Arabidopsis thaliana: one gene and its partners. The protein of the gene in region 1 interacts with the protein of each later gene in a pairwise test. Each region holds a gene or a part of one and is shown in the gene's direction. Other genes may lie near its edges. The genes, in order: AT3G25790, AT5G26749, bbx23 and AT2G43220.

Region 1 (4,665 bases):
TTGCACTTTTTGAATTATTTACCAAATATAAAAACCAAGATGGTGTTTTTTTTGTAATACCAAAAAAGAGAGAATTTTAGCTACGAGAGAATGCAAAATTCGGATTTGTGATCCGTTTTATTGAAAAAGATTTTAGTTTCATAGAACATATATCAAGTAGTATACAAATTGAAAAATAGGGTCTGATAGATCCGAGACACTTGGGTATTATCACCTAACTTTTAAACGTTTATGCCAGTTTTTTGACAAACAAATCACGAAGTATTTGAGGATAAATACAGTATTTGTTTATGTTTTCTATCTTTTTTTAGGAGGATGAGTTCATTGGTTTGATCTTAAACAATTGAAAATTTATAGGTTACCACCAATTTTGCGATTTTTTTTCTTCTTCTATACTTTAGATTTAAGTTTATATATAGATATTTTCGTTTGATATCAATATGGGAAGCCCACAAAGTTGGGGAGTTTAGTGGTACCTTTTTTTTTGGTTCACAATTGCATACGAATATTGGGGAGTTTAGTGGTACTATTGCATACGAATATTGGAGATACGAGAAAGGGGTGGAAAAAATTGATGATAAATTGAGCCCAAGTAGGAAACAATACACAAGGCCGTATATAAAGTTGGCATGTTGGGTTCAATACATGAGGCCGTCTTTTTGTTCGGCCGCGGCCAGTGGTGAACACTGAATATGGCCTTTTGAGACTCCGAGGGGACAATTATAATCCAACACTAAAATACATCTCTAAACTCTATTTGCCAACTAATTTCTTTATTTAAAATACGTTTCAATCTAATCAAAACAGATAAGCCTGTTAAACACAATTTTGATTTCTCGAGACTACGAATAGGTGGATCTATTTGTATCATAACATCATAACATATAAATCGATATTTAAAATTTTGAGTAATAAATTTGATGTTGGTCTCTAACAATTTGCGGGTAATTTCTTGATATTTTGGACATCACCCGAACATATTAGCTCATTACACACCAATTTCTATAGAGGCAACATATTTTCTTATCATTAAAGTTGACAGCTATTAGAGCCCTTAATCACGTTTGATTTCATATCTAATTCCAAATTATATGGATATAACAACAGCATAGCATATAAATTGATATGTGTAGCATTAGGTTATATCTTTGACCGGGAAATGCATTGGCAGGCCATTATACTGGGAAGATGCATTCGCATATATATTAGTAGGTGTACTTAGTAATCGTCTACTTGACATAATTAAAATTACCGGTCAAAAACACGAGATATATAGGAACTCATATTGTGTGGATATATATATTAGTTTACATGTGTATTTATGGATAAGGTTATAACGAATTCAACAAATTCTCAAGGTCCTATGAAATTTCAACAAGTATATTACAGTTTTTTTTTTATATATGGCTTTTCTTCTCCCATGTTTCGGCTGTCTACGAAGAGACATTTGGCTTTTCATATTGGGATATTGAAAAATACATTTTCAACGTTTTATATATGATTTTGTGTGGGTGAAATTAATACTTACAGAACAAAAGAGCTCATGCACGTTTAGTGTTATTTTGGCGGCTGTTTTTAAGGATTTGCATATATTCTTTCCCACGTATTGAATTCTATAAATGACATAATAATCAAACTTGTAAAAATAATAGAATGAATAGTTTATAGTCTTCCAAAATTCGATTTCTGTTGTAGTGGAATCGCAGACATTTTCTAACTTATGAATGTTGTTATAGGACTTCTTTAAACCTTGGTTGGATATACCCAAATAAATATAAAGTTCACACGAAAAAAACTTGGAATCACATCCAGGAATATTCACCACTGGATCAATACTACTATACAACAAGGGAAAAAAAAATATTTAACTTGGGAAGGTATATACTTATTTTATAAACAAAAGCAAGATTCGCCTTGTAATGCGACGGCCCGACTTCTCTCTTTCAAATAATGATCCTTGAGAAACCCTATAGAGCCATATATACGTTGTCTTTATAAAGAGACATAACTCATCTCTTCTTGACTAACTTTATAGTTAAAGTTATCAATTATTCGAAAACAAAGCTGGTTTTTTGTTTTGTCCCTTAAACCAGCATGATCAAGAACTTAAGTAATATGAAGAATGACAATCAGAAACGTGAAAAATGTTGCGAGTACATCGAAGCTCTCGAAGAAGAACGTCGCAAGATCAATGTTTTCCAACGCGAGCTTCCTCTTTGCGTAGAGCTCGTGACTCAAGGTACATACATATGCATTTACATTTCATATAAGATATAATGAGTTTATATATATGGATTAAATGTTAGATCTAAAGATTTTTAAAAAATGTTTTATGGAATTTAGCGATTGAGGCGTATAAGAGGGAGATATCAGGGACGTCGACGGATAACTTATACGGACAGTCGGAGTGCTCAGAGCAGACCACCGGAGAATGTGGGCGCATCTTGGATCTGTTCATACCAATCAAACACTCTTCGACCTCCATAGAAGAAGAGGTTGATGACAAAGATGATGATGATGAAGAACACCAGTCTCATGAAACCGACATAGATTTTGATGACAAGAACATGAAATCTGAATGGCTCAAGTCTGTTCAGCTCTGGAACCAATCCGACGCAGTTGTTTCTAATAATAGACAGGTAAGATTTTTATTTTATTTTATTTTTTCTTTGTTTACATTTGTGTTTTTGTTTGCCTTGAATTACATTTACTGTATTGTTTCCAAACCAGCCTATTGACGTTGTTAATTGTTAACGTAAAGACTAAACGCATAACCTTCTGTGTACTTTATGCGATTGTGTTTGTAACTTACAACTTCACAAATAGATTATTCTTTTTTCTTCCAGTTTTTGTTTTTTTTAATAGACCGAAAAAGGATGGGTGCACAAAAAGATAGTAAATTGCTCACAAAAAGATTTTGTTTTGTAATTTAAGTTTCTAATAGCATTTTGCGTATTCAGGATCGCTCACAAGAAAAGACAGAGACGCTGGTAGAGTTGATAAAAATAAACGATGAAGCAGCGAAGAAAAACAACAACATAAAATCACCGGTGACTACTAGCGATGGTGGCAGTGGCGGTGGCGGTGGCAGAAGAGGGCAGAGAAAGAATAGGCGGTGTTGGTCGCAAGAGTTACACAGACGCTTCTTGAACGCTCTTAAACAACTTGGTGGCCCTCATGGTGCGTTTCTTGGTTTTAAGTTAAAACATATATATCAGTAGTCATATCTTTTTGTTAGGGCTCATGAAGTTTAATTAATTCGTAATGACCTTTTTGTTCACTAAATTTTGAAGTAGCTACGCCGAAACAGATAAGAGATATAATGAAGGTTGATGGGTTAACAAATGATGAAGTCAAAAGTCATTTACAGGTTAGTAAATCATATTCCATGAAAAATACATGTAACTAATATGTAAAAGGTATATATTAATTTCATCATTTTAGTTACAAATGTTTTTATAATTTAGAAGGAAAATAATATTTATTGTTTCATATTTTTTTTAATGATAAATAGAAATATAGGCTGCATGCAAGACGGCCAAGCCAAACAACACCGAACAACAGAAACTCTCAAACGCAACATTTCGTGGTGGTTGGTGGAATATGGGTCCCACAGACTAACCATTCAACGGCCAACGCAGTCAACGCCGTCGCATCGGGTGAGACCACCGGGATTTATGGGCCTATGGTCAGTTCGTTGCCGTCCGAGTGGCCGAGGCATTCCAATTTTGGTAGGAAGATTTCGGAAGATAGATCAAGATGCTCTAACAACGGATTTTTTCGGTGTAGCTCACCAGCTATGTCTTGTTCTACTCGTACAAAGACGAAAGATGCAAAAATAATATCATAAATTTAATTTTTGATTATTTATTAAGAGAAAAAAGTTATAGACATTAATATTGTGAAGAGTGTATATATATAGATGTTGGAGCGTGACTCTATGTTATTTTTAGTTTCTTGGTTTTTTTCTATTAGCCGATGATATCTTTGATCAAAGATCCATATTAGCTAATGCATACTATATTTTTTTACGTCGTGCAATATGCATATCGATGATAATAAGTTAATAACACAAAATTATTAGATTACTAGTTGAAGAATCGTATATAGAAAGAATCGTAATTATATGTAGAATGATGGTATATTATCAGCATATATTTTTATAGAGGCTTTAGCCACCAAAATTAATAAATGTCAGTCACAAACTCAAATTAATTAATTTCGTCCTTAACATATGTATGTCGGCCAGGTTTCTATTTGCTATAGTAATATAAGATACACAGAAACATTGTAGAAATGTAAAATGTCTTCGAAAACAGAAGAAAAATACATATATAAACTTTTTTGAATGAAAATAAAAAAAATTATGCCATACAGAAGGATCGGAACTCGGTAGAATATGCCGGAATCTGAAGAGCATAATCTGCAAATATGTTTTTCAGGTTAAACTTTATTCTCTTGTTGCTTGTACTGGATATTAACACAAATGTGCACGTTGGGCTCCTTCTCGTGGAGTGAATTATTCTTTATTTGTTCCTTTTACTTTTGTAAATACAATTTTTCCATATAAGTATATAACTGTGTAAATATTAAACCCAAAATATGTTAAAAGACAAGTTTTTTTGTAACTTAAGGGCAAGAAACAAGGTGTAAAGCCACATGAAA
Region 2 (3,736 bases), on another chromosome or scaffold:
ATGTTGTGTCTCTGAAACATTGTTTCTTCTCAACCACTGAAAAAGATGAGCTTTACCTCAATCTTGTTCTTGAGTACGTTCCAGAAACTGTTCATCGTGTTATCAAACACTACAACAAACTGAATCAGAGAATGCCTCTTATATACGTCAAACTTTACACTTATCAGGTATCAATTATTACATTTCTGTTAGATTTAGAGTTATGTTTTGGATCTCTTATCGGATTTCTCTATGTTTGGCAGATTTTTAGAGCCTTATCTTACATTCACCGATGCATTGGTGTGTGTCATCGTGACATAAAACCTCAAAACTTGTTGGTATGTACAAGTTAAATAAACAGGAGCTCACAGTATACCCGGGAATATACTTTTCTTCATTGTCTAATGCTACTTTTTTCACCTGTAATGGAACAGGTAAATCCGCACACTCATCAAGTAAAGCTATGTGATTTTGGAAGTGCAAAAGTATTGGTGAGTTTGATAAACCTCTTCCGGGTACTTTGTTTCTTGGAAAAAGTTAGATTCAATCTTGTTGATCATTGTAATATCTGAAAACAGGTAAAAGGAGAACCAAACATTTCCTACATCTGCTCGAGGTATTACAGAGCACCTGAACTTATTTTTGGAGCAACCGAGTATACGACAGCCATTGATGTCTGGTCTGCAGGATGTGTTCTAGCTGAACTATTGCTTGGACAGGTAATGCATTAAATCTTATTCAAACATTTTTGTTCTACTTAACCTGGAATTTTGTGATTGACAAACTCTATTCTCTGCTCATGACAGCCCTTGTTCCCTGGTGAGAGCGGTGTTGATCAACTTGTAGAGATTATCAAGGTATAAGCTTTGCACTTGTTCACTTTGATAACAAGTTCTTGTTTTCAATAATACTGAGAGAAGATTTGATGTAATGTTTTTTGTTATGCTTTGGGGTAGGTCTTGGGAACGCCTACTAGAGAAGAAATCAAGTGCATGAACCCAAACTACACGGAATTCAAATTCCCTCAGATTAAAGCTCATCCATGGCACAAGGTAGAAATAAACTTATATTCATCAAATCAACTTGTCAATGTGTTATTCAGTAGCAGTTACAGTCAATGTGACAATATCTACTCGTCATAATATATTCACAGATTTTCCACAAACGCATGCCTCCAGAAGCTGTTGATTTGGTCTCAAGACTTCTTCAATACTCTCCTAATCTACGAAGTGCCGCTGTGAGTATTACTTACAAATTCAACATTCTTCTGTGAATCTTCTCGATGGTCCTTTCATTTCCTATTTTTCTTTTGTCTGACTTGCTTTTACTTGAATCGTAAACCTGATCACAGCTCGACACATTAGTCCACCCATTCTTTGATGAGTTAAGAGACCCAAACGCACGTCTACCTAATGGACGTTTCCTTCCACCGCTTTTCAACTTCAAGCCTCACGGTACAACATCTCCCTTTCCTAATGGTGTTTATCTCCAACTTACCTGTAAAATCATCAAAGTTTTACCTTACTAAAGCTATACCTGTAATTGTTGTGAAACAGAGCTGAAAGGTGTACCATTGGAGATGGTAGCTAAGTTAGTACCTGAGCATGCAAGGAAGCAGTGTCCTTGGCTCGGTTTGTGATTTCCTCTTAATGTAGCATGAACACAACAAACACTTCTTATAAATTACCTCTCTATGTATCAATATGTCACAAACTGATATGCACCCTTTGTTTGTTGTATGAGTAGAGAAAAAAAGAGTTATTACTATGGTTGGTTGGTTCATAATGTAAAAGCCCACCAAGATTTTTTATCTAGATAAAGAGTTTGCTACTTCTGCTTTTGTATCTTCTTCTTCCTCTGCAACATCATCAAACAAAGACCCTAAAAGTCACTGTAGCAAATACAAGTATCCTCACGCGCCTAAAACTAATAAAAGCCAAAACTTTTTGATTCTACGAGTCGTCGTCGTCATCGCCGGAAGATGCCGTCGGGGAAATATTACTGTGATTATTGCGAGAAAGAGTTTCAAGACACTCAAGTCGCTAGAAAACGCCATCTTCAAAGCAAACCTCATCTTCGAGCTAAAGCCCTTTGGTACAGTTCTTCTTCCTCAGGTATCTCTCTTCTCTCTTTTTTCTCTCTGTTTCTTAAAGGAACGATTTTTAACATCTCTGTTTCTTTTAATACGAAATTCTTAGATCTTGTTAATCCACAAGTCTCCAATTTTGCGACGAAAGGTCTCTGCAATCGATTCATTACCTCGGTACGTCGGATTGATTTTGTTTCGCTATGTTCATCATTCCTAGCAATCTCTGGATGTGTAAAGTCTTGTCCTTTTCGTTTATATTCTGGTGGAATCACACATTTTACATTGCTTTGTTTGATTCTGCAAAAAAATTCATTGCATATGTGTGTATGTATGTAATCTTCCAAGTAAAGTCTGTTCCTTTCTTAATGGGTTTTGCAGAATTTTTGCCCATTTGGAGATTCTTGCAGATACTTCCATCCTAACAACAATACAGGAAGCACAGGTTAGGTCAAAACCTGTTGATTTTTGACTTCAGTGATTTGGTCTCTTTTAGGCTACTTAAAGCTTTAAAGAAGTCTCTACTATGCGCAAGATTTGCTTAAAACATCATCCTCTTGTTGAATTCAAATGCAGGATTCACAAATAATACACAACTTCGTGTTGACATGCTTAACCAACAACACATCCAAGGAAGTACTTTAAACCGTATGCGTTCTTGTTTTTTCGTCATTCAAGTTCTCTAATATTTAAGCATTTATAGAAAATCTGATGTTGGAAGTTTGAATTGTCTAAAACAGGTGATTTTGTTAGTGGGAGACCAGGAACAGGTTGGTTTGATCTTCCGCCATCGCTAAAACCGCCTCCTGAGCAAGGCTATCCTCAGCTTCCCTTCATAGACTGGGGATAGATATAAATTCTCTGAATAATGCTCAGTTTCAACATTGATGATTCTACTTGAAAGGAAAAGACTAATCTTTGTCTCGTTGTGCTCTGCCATTACCAAGCTTTTAGCCACAAGCTTGTCTCTTTTCAGACTCGAGGTTGGAAGAATGTCAACCAAATTGTCGTCTTGTTACTCAATTTGTCGTCAACTTTAGAGACATTGTTCGGAGTTTGGACATGGCAAATTTGCAATTTAACATACTGTGCGATATTCTGATAAAATTCTTTAAATTTCGTTGGCTCGTCCCTATTCATTGCGTGATGATAGGATATCGCTAATTCGCTATCCGCTTCCTGGCCATGTGCTAAACAAGACTTCCCAAGCCAAACTATCAAAATATTTGACAAAGTTGGAGCAATTCCTAAGGCTGTAGATTAATTACAAAGTTGGAACAATTTTTTCCCTAGAAAATACATTATTGAGAAACAGAGTATAAGTTGGCTAAAAGAAAAATCAGATTGTTCAGAATCAAATATTTAAATTATTAACTTCATTTTCATTTCTTCAACTCCATAAAATAGAACTAATTTTAAACTCTTTATTGTTGAGAGAAATATCTTCGAATCTCCTAAGAGTAATTTAGTCGAGCATGTTGGTTTGAGTTTATAAAAGATAGGTTATGATTTATTAGTTAATATTTCAAATTTATATATTGGTTTTTAGGTTTATAATGGAGGGTTTTAGTTTATTTTTTATTTTAATTATGAACAAAGTAAATAGTTTGAGTTTATAAAGAAGAGTTTGATTAGCGTATTATAATTACTTATATGTCGGTTTAGGTTTAA
Region 3 (3,640 bases), on another chromosome or scaffold:
GTTACTGATGGAGAGAAAGGTTGCAGATACTACACAAAGGTAAGGGATCAAATTCGACATGATTGTGTGTGTTTTGGAGTTATCTAAACAAAGTTTTTCGACTGTCGAAAAGCGCAGAAATTCAAAGGGAGAGTGCCTGGATACGCTGTGAAAGCAGTTGACACAACTGGAGCTGGTGATTCATTTGTTGGTGCATTTCTTGTCTCATTGGGAAAAGATGGCTCCATACTCGATGTACGTATAACCAAAGACGTTTTCAGTTCATAGATAAGGCATATGAAATTGAGTTTTGGTGATTGAGTAATGTGAATGTTGCAGGATGAAGGGAAGCTGAAGGAAGCACTTGCCTTTGCAAATGCATGTGGAGCAGTGTGTACTACTCAGAAAGGAGCTATTCCTGCACTTCCCACTCCAGCTGATGCTCAAAAGCTCATGAAATCTAAGTCTAAATAGTTTCAATCTTGTTCTGTTCTGTTTCTGTTTCTTCACTCTTGTCAATTTCCTTGGTTTTCACAGAGTATTTTCTCTGTTATCTGAATAAATCTAGTTTCAAGTTTCTGCCAAAATTGATTCCAAACTAATTCATATACCTTGATTTTTAATTACATGACTAATGTTCTATAACAAATAATCAAGAGGCTCTATAATATAAAGAAATGAACATTTTATTGCATATAGAGAAGGTTACAGAGATTTTGGTAGATAGGTTACAAAACATGACACTCCATTTAGCTTACACAATATGAAACTCAAAACTCTTGGATTTATAATAACTCTCTTCAGACTCAGAAAGTAATATATAGTTTCTTCAATATCAGAGTTCTTTGGATTCAGAAGAGCTGATTTTTGCAGTTTGGTCTTCTTCAGCTGCAATGTTAACAACTCTTGGACCCTTAACTTTTTCAGGAGATAGTTTCGTGAGGTTAATAGTGAGCACACCATTCTCAAGCTTGGCCTTGACTGATTCCATATCTACATTATCAGGTAGCTTGAACTGTCTCCAGAATTTTCCATATGATCTCTCCACTCTATGCCATTGATCTCCTTTCTTCTCTTCTTCTCTTTTCCTCTCTCCACTGACTCGTAAAACTCCGTTCTCCTCCACTTCTATCTTTACTTCATCCTTCTTCAAACCGGGGATATCGAGCATTATCTCATGCCCTTCTGCTGTTTCTTTCCAGTCTACTCTTGCTGGAGACAGAGCCACGCTTGTGTCCCTCTCGAGTCCTAATGGGATTCTCTCCAAGATCTTGAATGGATCAGGGAACCGGTCTAGCCAGAGATCGGATAGCAAGCTGCCTGGAGTAGTTTCAAGTGCAGAAGACAAAGACCCTTCACTTGTTTTGATGTTTCCAAGCAACAAAGCTCCTATGAAGAAGATGCTTAGCAAGTGCTTCATCATGGTTAGTGATTTGGATTTATTGTAGAAGGTTGAAACCAAAATTTTAGGCTTTTAACTTCACTTTCTTATTTTGTTTTCTATGATGGTTAGTCTCAATTCTCTGGTGTATATATAATACACATTGTATGAAGAATGAAGAAGTTTCTTGAAATATCTTTCTTTTGGTAGAGTTTTGCAGAGAGAGATATTGAGATTGTTCTAGCTTTTTTGGCTGTGACTTGTACTAATTATGTTACTACACGTTGGATAAGTTTGTTGTGCCTTTAAGGGTCTTCTCTCATGTTCCAGAGACTTCATGTAAAAACTATGGATTGGATTGGGCCTTAATAGTTATTTATATCCAGGCCTATTTTTATTGGCCCATTATGATATTTGGGACCAATTCTGTTTGTGATGAGTCTTAGAATTTTGGCTGCTGCATGGGAAAGGAATGGGAGAGAGTTTGAATGATGCCATGCTCCATTTCAGTTTCTGACAACATTTTAGAGTTTTTGACCTCTATTGCCCTATGGCTAGTTACTTTTAATTCCACAGTCTTTATGCATATTGTGGTCCTGCCTTTACTTTTGGCTTGCCATGCTTGTGTCTTAAGAGAAGCTTGTCGCTATGTTTGTCAATTTATGTTTTCAAAAGAAAGTAAAACTATACAAGCTTCTGAAAAAGATCTTGTCATGGAGATTTTGGTAGGAGAACATTTATTGGTTTAAATGCCACCCAAAGTTGGTCTAATAACCCCATATTGAGATAAAAATTTCGTCTTCGACATATCGTTGTATATCTATATATAGTTCTCTCTTTTCATGAATAAAGATCATCAATTCCTCTTGGTATCAGAGCCAGGTTTTGATATAACTTATGATCCCACCACACATGTGAACTTATTTAAGCTTGTTCTTTCTTGTTTCCTATATTTAGATTCACTCCTTGTCCTAATTCTCATAAATGTCAAAGAACATTTGTTCTGTCTGTGTATTGGCAATTTACATTGATTTGGATTATAAAGTTGAAGGATGAAGATACAATGTGAAGTGTGTGAAAAGGCTGAAGCAGAAGTACTTTGTTGTTCAGATGAAGCTGTACTATGCAAGCCATGTGACATTAAGGTTCATGAAGCTAATAAACTTTTCCAAAGACATCACCGAGTCGCCTTACAAAAAGATGCAGCCTCAGCCACCACAGCTTCTGGAGCTCCTCTATGTGATATCTGCCAGGTTCCAATCTCTTTTCTCTTTAAACACTCGCTGAGCTCTTTAACCGATGTCTCATATATATGTATATGCAGGAGAGAAAAGGGTACTTCTTCTGCTTAGAGGATAGAGCAATGCTGTGCAATGATTGTGATGAAGCCATTCACACTTGCAATTCTCACCAAAGATTCTTACTTTCTGGAGTACAAGTTTCTGATCAGTCTTTGACTGAAAACTCCGAATGCAGCACTAGTTTTAGCTCTGAAACTTACCAGATTCAGTCAAAAGTGTCTCTGAATAGTCAGTACTCTAGTGAGGAAACTGAAGCTGGAAACTCAGGTGAGATAGTACACAAGAATCCTTCTGTAATCTTAAGTCCTTAGAGATATACACACAACATCATGGTTCCGGAGCCATTGATGTTTAATAATAAAAGTTTCTGTAATATATTATCTTACACAGAAGAAAAACTTGTTGAGGAATCAAATCTTTTTGTTACAACAAATATTAAAACCATGACTTAACAACTAAAGTCAGTGGTCATGGCATCGACACAACCAAAGCTAAGTTGTTCCAATAGTTTCAAGAATTGTAGAAATGTGAATACTATTTGAATCGATCTTAGATATATAAACAAAATTTAAAAAATGAATAAATAATTATTGATTAAATATAATTATTTATCTCAAATATCAAGACTTGGATAGAAAATGCATAACTTAATGAGACAGTCATAGATTACTACTATTAGCTCTTGTACTTTCTTTTTGCCTCACTACAAGAACTATAGACCTTGTTGGATTTGAACCAACGTTGGAACATAACTGATTAAGAAGTGACCATTGAGATTCTTCCTCATCATGATCCAATTGTATACATTTATCTTCTCCCACAACGTGTAAAAAAACGTTGGAGACCCCATGCTTACCACGACACACCAAAACTTTGTTCTCCTGGTCGACCAAAAATTTATCCCACTAGCAAACCAAAAAGGCTTGTAGAAACTTTCTCCATGACGCGGCTCCGGTACCGTCAATCTTAGTTGCAATCC
Region 4 (4,124 bases), on another chromosome or scaffold:
AAAAATCCAAAAAAGCATCTGACGTTCATTTAAACATTCGATTACCTGATGGTAGTAGCCTTCAGGAGAAGTTTTCTGTGACAAGTATATTGAGAATGGTCAAGGATTATGTGAACAGTAATCAAACAATCGGACTGGGTGCTTATGATCTTGCGGTTCCTTACCCACGTAAGGTGTATACTGACCAAGGTACGTAAAATCTACAATGCATCCAATAGATTTTTATTTTTATTTGGTAAAGAACATTTTACCTTAAAACCAGCTTCATCTTGATCGAAGATGATGTTTTCTGCCATTTAGGTTTTTTTTTTTTTTTTTTCTGGTCAGTTTGGACTAGTGTAGTAGATACATAACTCCATTACTCTTAATCTCTGCAGATCTGGATAAGTCTCTATCCGAGTTGAGATTGTTCGATAGACAAGCACTTGTAGTAGTTCCGCGAAAAAGAGCAACCGTCTATCAAAGAGGAACATCTTACTCGGAGTCTAACAACAACACAGACCCTAATAGTGGCGGTTACTTTGCTTATGTTAGAAGAGTACTGTCTTATGCAAACCCGTTTTCATATTTTGGCGGTGGTACTGCCAACGCATCAAGCTCTGTTCCAGAACGTCAAACAAGTATGCGGGAATATGATGAGTTTATAAAATCCATTCTAATGCAGAAAGTCGTGTAATTGCTAATCTGATTCTCTCTTTTTCTATCTATAGGACCAAATACGGAGGTGAGAAACAATCTGGGGCAAGTAGGGACGTCCTTTCAAGATCCATCAGAAGGTAGGAGCAACGTTAGGAATAGGAGACCAACCACTTCTCGGATTGGAAGTAACATCCATACGTTGAATCACAATGAAGATGAGGCTCCGTTTGGTGATGGAAACGCTTTTTGGAACGGAAACTCCACACAGTACGGTGGTGGAAGCGGTGGAGACAGTAATGATAGACGATGAAATAAGAGAAGTTGAAATCTGTGTGGATAGATACAGAAACAGCTCGGGTGTTTACTTTTTATACTTGACTCTTTATGAACCATTTAAGAGACCAGCTGCAAAATGTATCCTGATGCGTTTCCGTTTTTTCGGTTGCTCGTATTAAATTTAAATCTAAAAAAACTAGCAATTTCTGTTTGATTAAATTCGGTTCTAGAAATTAATTAGTGTCGTTTGATTAACTTCGGTTCCAATCATAACAAAAATATTAGAGTTAAATGGTTGCTTAAATATAAGAATCTGTATATTCTTTTCTATGCAAGTGAAGACTTCATTGAACTGTGAAAAGGCGTTCACTGACAGCTTCTTGTTCTCCTAGCGGTTTCCCTTGTGCTCATCCTCACACCTTCCAAAATATTATCAACTCGGATAACAAAACATATATATGTGATCAACCAGACAATTTTTTAATATATATTTCTATAGTCAACGATGAGTACGCATTTTAATAATCCGGTGAAAGATTAGTCGGACTAACTAAATAATTTTTTTGACATATAATAAACACTTGGACCCCCCAAATTGAGCCTTAAGAAAAGACTAAACCAGTTCTATTAGTTGCGTACAACTAACGATGATCAACTTGAGTGATTTATATCGGAGATCGTGGGTAGTGATACGGGTCAACAATATAAGGATTTAGAGATCAATTAGGAATTGAAGTTAAACCTTTTCAATTTTCTTAAAGTTCCCTGATCCTTATTCATTCATCGTATCCACAACCATTCTTAACATTGCCCATGGCTAAGACGCTGGACCTCTTTTGGCACGAACATCCTTTATATGAAAAATATCGTATGTTCACTTGCCAAGAGTGCCATAGGAGTGCTATACCCTTCTTTGAAGTTTTTTATGGATGCTTCAGATGCAATATAAAATGGCATCCCTATTGCGTGCCAAGGTCAACGAAGAATATTAACCACCCTTGTCACCCGAACCATCCCCTAGAGGTTCTCCTCCAAGGGCCACCTAGTTACTCTGACGAGAAGTGCAGCCTCTGTCAACGGAAACTCTCCAACTTCGTTTACCATTGTAAGTTATGCAATTTCAGCATAGATATGGAATGCGGAAACAGGCCCCCGCCCCACAAAGTGGATCATCCAAAGTGCCACGAGCATGCACTCACCCTCATGGGAAGGGAAGTATCCTTCACTTGCAATGCTTGTGGTACGCATGGTGAACGGAACCCTTATGTATGCCTACCATGCTCTGTCATGTTTCATTATGATTGTATTGATCTACCACACGTCATCAACATCAATCGTCATGATCATCGCATTTCACATTCATATCCTCTCAAACGTGGGAATTGGGTATGTGAAATCTGTCGTCAAGATATCAACACCACGTACGGAGGCTATTCATGCAACAAATGTCCAGATTTTTTTGTTCATTCAAAATGTGCAACTAGAAAAGACGTGTGGGATGGGACCGAACTCGAAGGGATACCTGAGGAAGTAGTAGACGTTGCGCCATTTGAAGTGATCGAGGAAGGGGTAATTTATCATTTCTCCCACGAGAAACATAACTTATTCCTTATTGAGGATGTTTTTATAGATGGTGCTGAAGACATGCATTGTGAAGCTTGCGCCCGTCCAGTCTCTTCTGAGAAGCACTACAAGTGCGTGGAATGCAAGTTTATTCTTCACGAAGAGTGTGCGAATCTTCCTCTTACGAAACGACATGGACTTTCCACAGGTATATTTTATCTTCGCTTCGGGAAGGATTTTAGCGAACAAAATTTCAGTTGTGATGCTTGCAATAGAGATGGAAGGGGTTTTAGCTACAAGGATGAAGAGGGTGTGGTACTCGATGTGTTGTGTGCGTCTCTCTCTTTCTTCAAGCACCCCAAACTTCATCCTCACACGTTATTTCTAACCACAATAGATCGTGGTACTTGCTTAGCTTGCGGTGAGAATAAACTCAATGTGCTGCGTTGTGTTGATTGTGATTATTCTTTGGATTACAAATGCGCCACTCTACCATTAGTCATAAAGCATAGGTGTGATACACATTATTTAGTTTTGCGCTCTGGGGAGGAGGCGCCTGAAGGTAAATATTGGTGTGAAATCTGTGAAGCCGAAACCAATCCTGAAAGATGGTTCTATACATGCGATGATTGTGGGGTCGTGTGCCATATTGAATGCGTAACCGGGGACTTTTTGAACATAAAACCTGGAATAATAATGAAGAACAGGGAGAATAAGTTTGAAGTGGGTTTCAACGATCACGATTCTAGACCAAAATGCACTGATTGTGGCTCTCGTTGTAGGTTCCCTAGGTTTTTCAAGGTTACTAGAAAAAATATTGAGTACTACTATTGCTCAAAAGCTTGTTTTCAGAATGCGAAATTCTGAATGCCTGAAGGAAGGCGAAAGGAAGGATTTGGAAACATAAAAAGAATATGGGTTTTTACAGATGGAGGCTGTGTAATGTTTTTCAATTATTTTCAGATAAACTTGTTTTCTATATTTGGATTTATTGTTGGTTTGCTCATTCAGTTCATAAAACTATTTATGAGAAAGAGAGAAAGAGAGAGAGAGAGACTTTGAAGGTAATTATTCTTCACACCTTTTATTATAATTCACCAAAATTGGGATGTTTGTTCTATTCTTGATCACACGCCTCTCTGTCGCTTCCTTTTGACGTTTTCTTTCTTTTCTTAGCTTTTTCTTTTATCTTTTGTGTTTTCTGTCTTTTCTTTTCCGTAGTTATTTGGGATTCCAAATTTTTTTCATTCCTAAATTTCTCCACGAGCTCATCACCTCCTTTCGTCTCTGCCTCTCATTTGTCTACAAACATTTTTTCCTTTTGATTCGTCTCTCTGGTTTATTGCTCGTTGATCGTTTGTTTCTAAATTGCATTCTGATTTCTGATGGATCGTGATTTTCATCGTCGTGGTCAAGTGGTAAGCATTACACGCAAACACAGCTTTGATCATTAAAAATGTCATCTTATTTAAATCATGTCTTGAGATCACGTAATGGTCTTAGGTCAATCAAGATCAACGCGCAACAAATTCTAATGTTTTTACAAAATTTGAAAATACTTATCTACAAATGTATTTATAAAGAAACCTAATTTGCCTTTGTGTTGATCATGATAGACAATTGTTGTTATTAGCCTGTTGATTTGA

Evidence for each region.
Region 2: the proteins of AT3G25790 (region 1) and AT5G26749 interact in a two-hybrid assay, tested with the Arabidopsis thaliana proteins (one large-scale study listed by BioGRID).
Region 3: the proteins of AT3G25790 (region 1) and bbx23 interact in a two-hybrid assay, tested with the Arabidopsis thaliana proteins (one large-scale study listed by BioGRID).
Region 4: the proteins of AT3G25790 (region 1) and AT2G43220 interact in a two-hybrid assay, tested with the Arabidopsis thaliana proteins (one large-scale study listed by BioGRID).

Annotation. Positions count from the first base shown.
Region 1 is NC_003074.8:9,411,102-9,415,766, forward strand, and holds AT3G25790 (myb-like transcription factor family protein), read left to right. Parts: upstream 1-1,950; 5' UTR 1,951-2,094; coding exon 2,095-2,239; intron 2,240-2,343; coding exon 2,344-2,639; intron 2,640-2,960; coding exon 2,961-3,180; intron 3,181-3,293; coding exon 3,294-3,370; coding exon of another isoform or gene 3,371-3,409; exon of another isoform or gene 3,410-3,514; coding exon 3,515-3,850; 3' UTR 3,851-4,139; downstream 4,140-4,665. UniProt on the Arabidopsis thaliana protein: Probable factor involved in nitrate and phosphate signaling in roots. Integrates nitrate and phosphate starvation responses and adaptation of root architecture, depending on nutrient availabilities.
Region 2 is NC_003076.8:9,397,464-9,401,199, reverse strand, and holds AT5G26749 (C2H2 and C2HC zinc fingers superfamily protein), read left to right. Parts: upstream 1-1,932; 5' UTR 1,933-1,960; coding exon 1,961-2,093; intron 2,094-2,177; coding exon 2,178-2,299; intron 2,300-2,446; coding exon 2,447-2,510; intron 2,511-2,641; coding exon 2,642-2,713; intron 2,714-2,805; coding exon 2,806-2,915; 3' UTR 2,916-3,185; downstream 3,186-3,736. Other genes in the region: SK 11 (shaggy-related kinase 11), read left to right, coding at 1-167, 243-317, 414-470, 558-698, 786-836, 936-1,031, 1,133-1,216, 1,331-1,433 and 1 more.
Region 3 is NC_003075.7:6,368,299-6,371,938, reverse strand, and holds bbx23 (B-box zinc finger family protein), read left to right. Parts: upstream 1-1,988; 5' UTR 1,989-2,412; coding exon 2,413-2,613; intron 2,614-2,684; coding exon 2,685-2,972; 3' UTR 2,973-3,110; downstream 3,111-3,640. Other genes in the region: AT4G10260 (pfkB-like carbohydrate kinase family protein), read left to right, coding at 1-39, 118-234, 319-453; ATHSP22.0 (HSP20-like chaperones superfamily protein), read right to left, coding at 815-1,402. UniProt on the Arabidopsis thaliana protein: Probable transcription factor that may be involved in seedling photomorphogenesis.
Region 4 is NC_003071.7:17,962,612-17,966,735, forward strand, and holds AT2G43220 (Cysteine/Histidine-rich C1 domain family protein), read left to right. Parts: upstream 1-1,607; 5' UTR 1,608-1,728; coding exon 1,729-3,345; 3' UTR 3,346-3,600; downstream 3,601-4,124. Other genes in the region: AT2G43210 (Ubiquitin-like superfamily protein), read left to right, coding at 1-189, 378-620, 711-949; AT2G43230 (Protein kinase superfamily protein), read left to right, coding at 3,864-3,896, 3,982-4,049.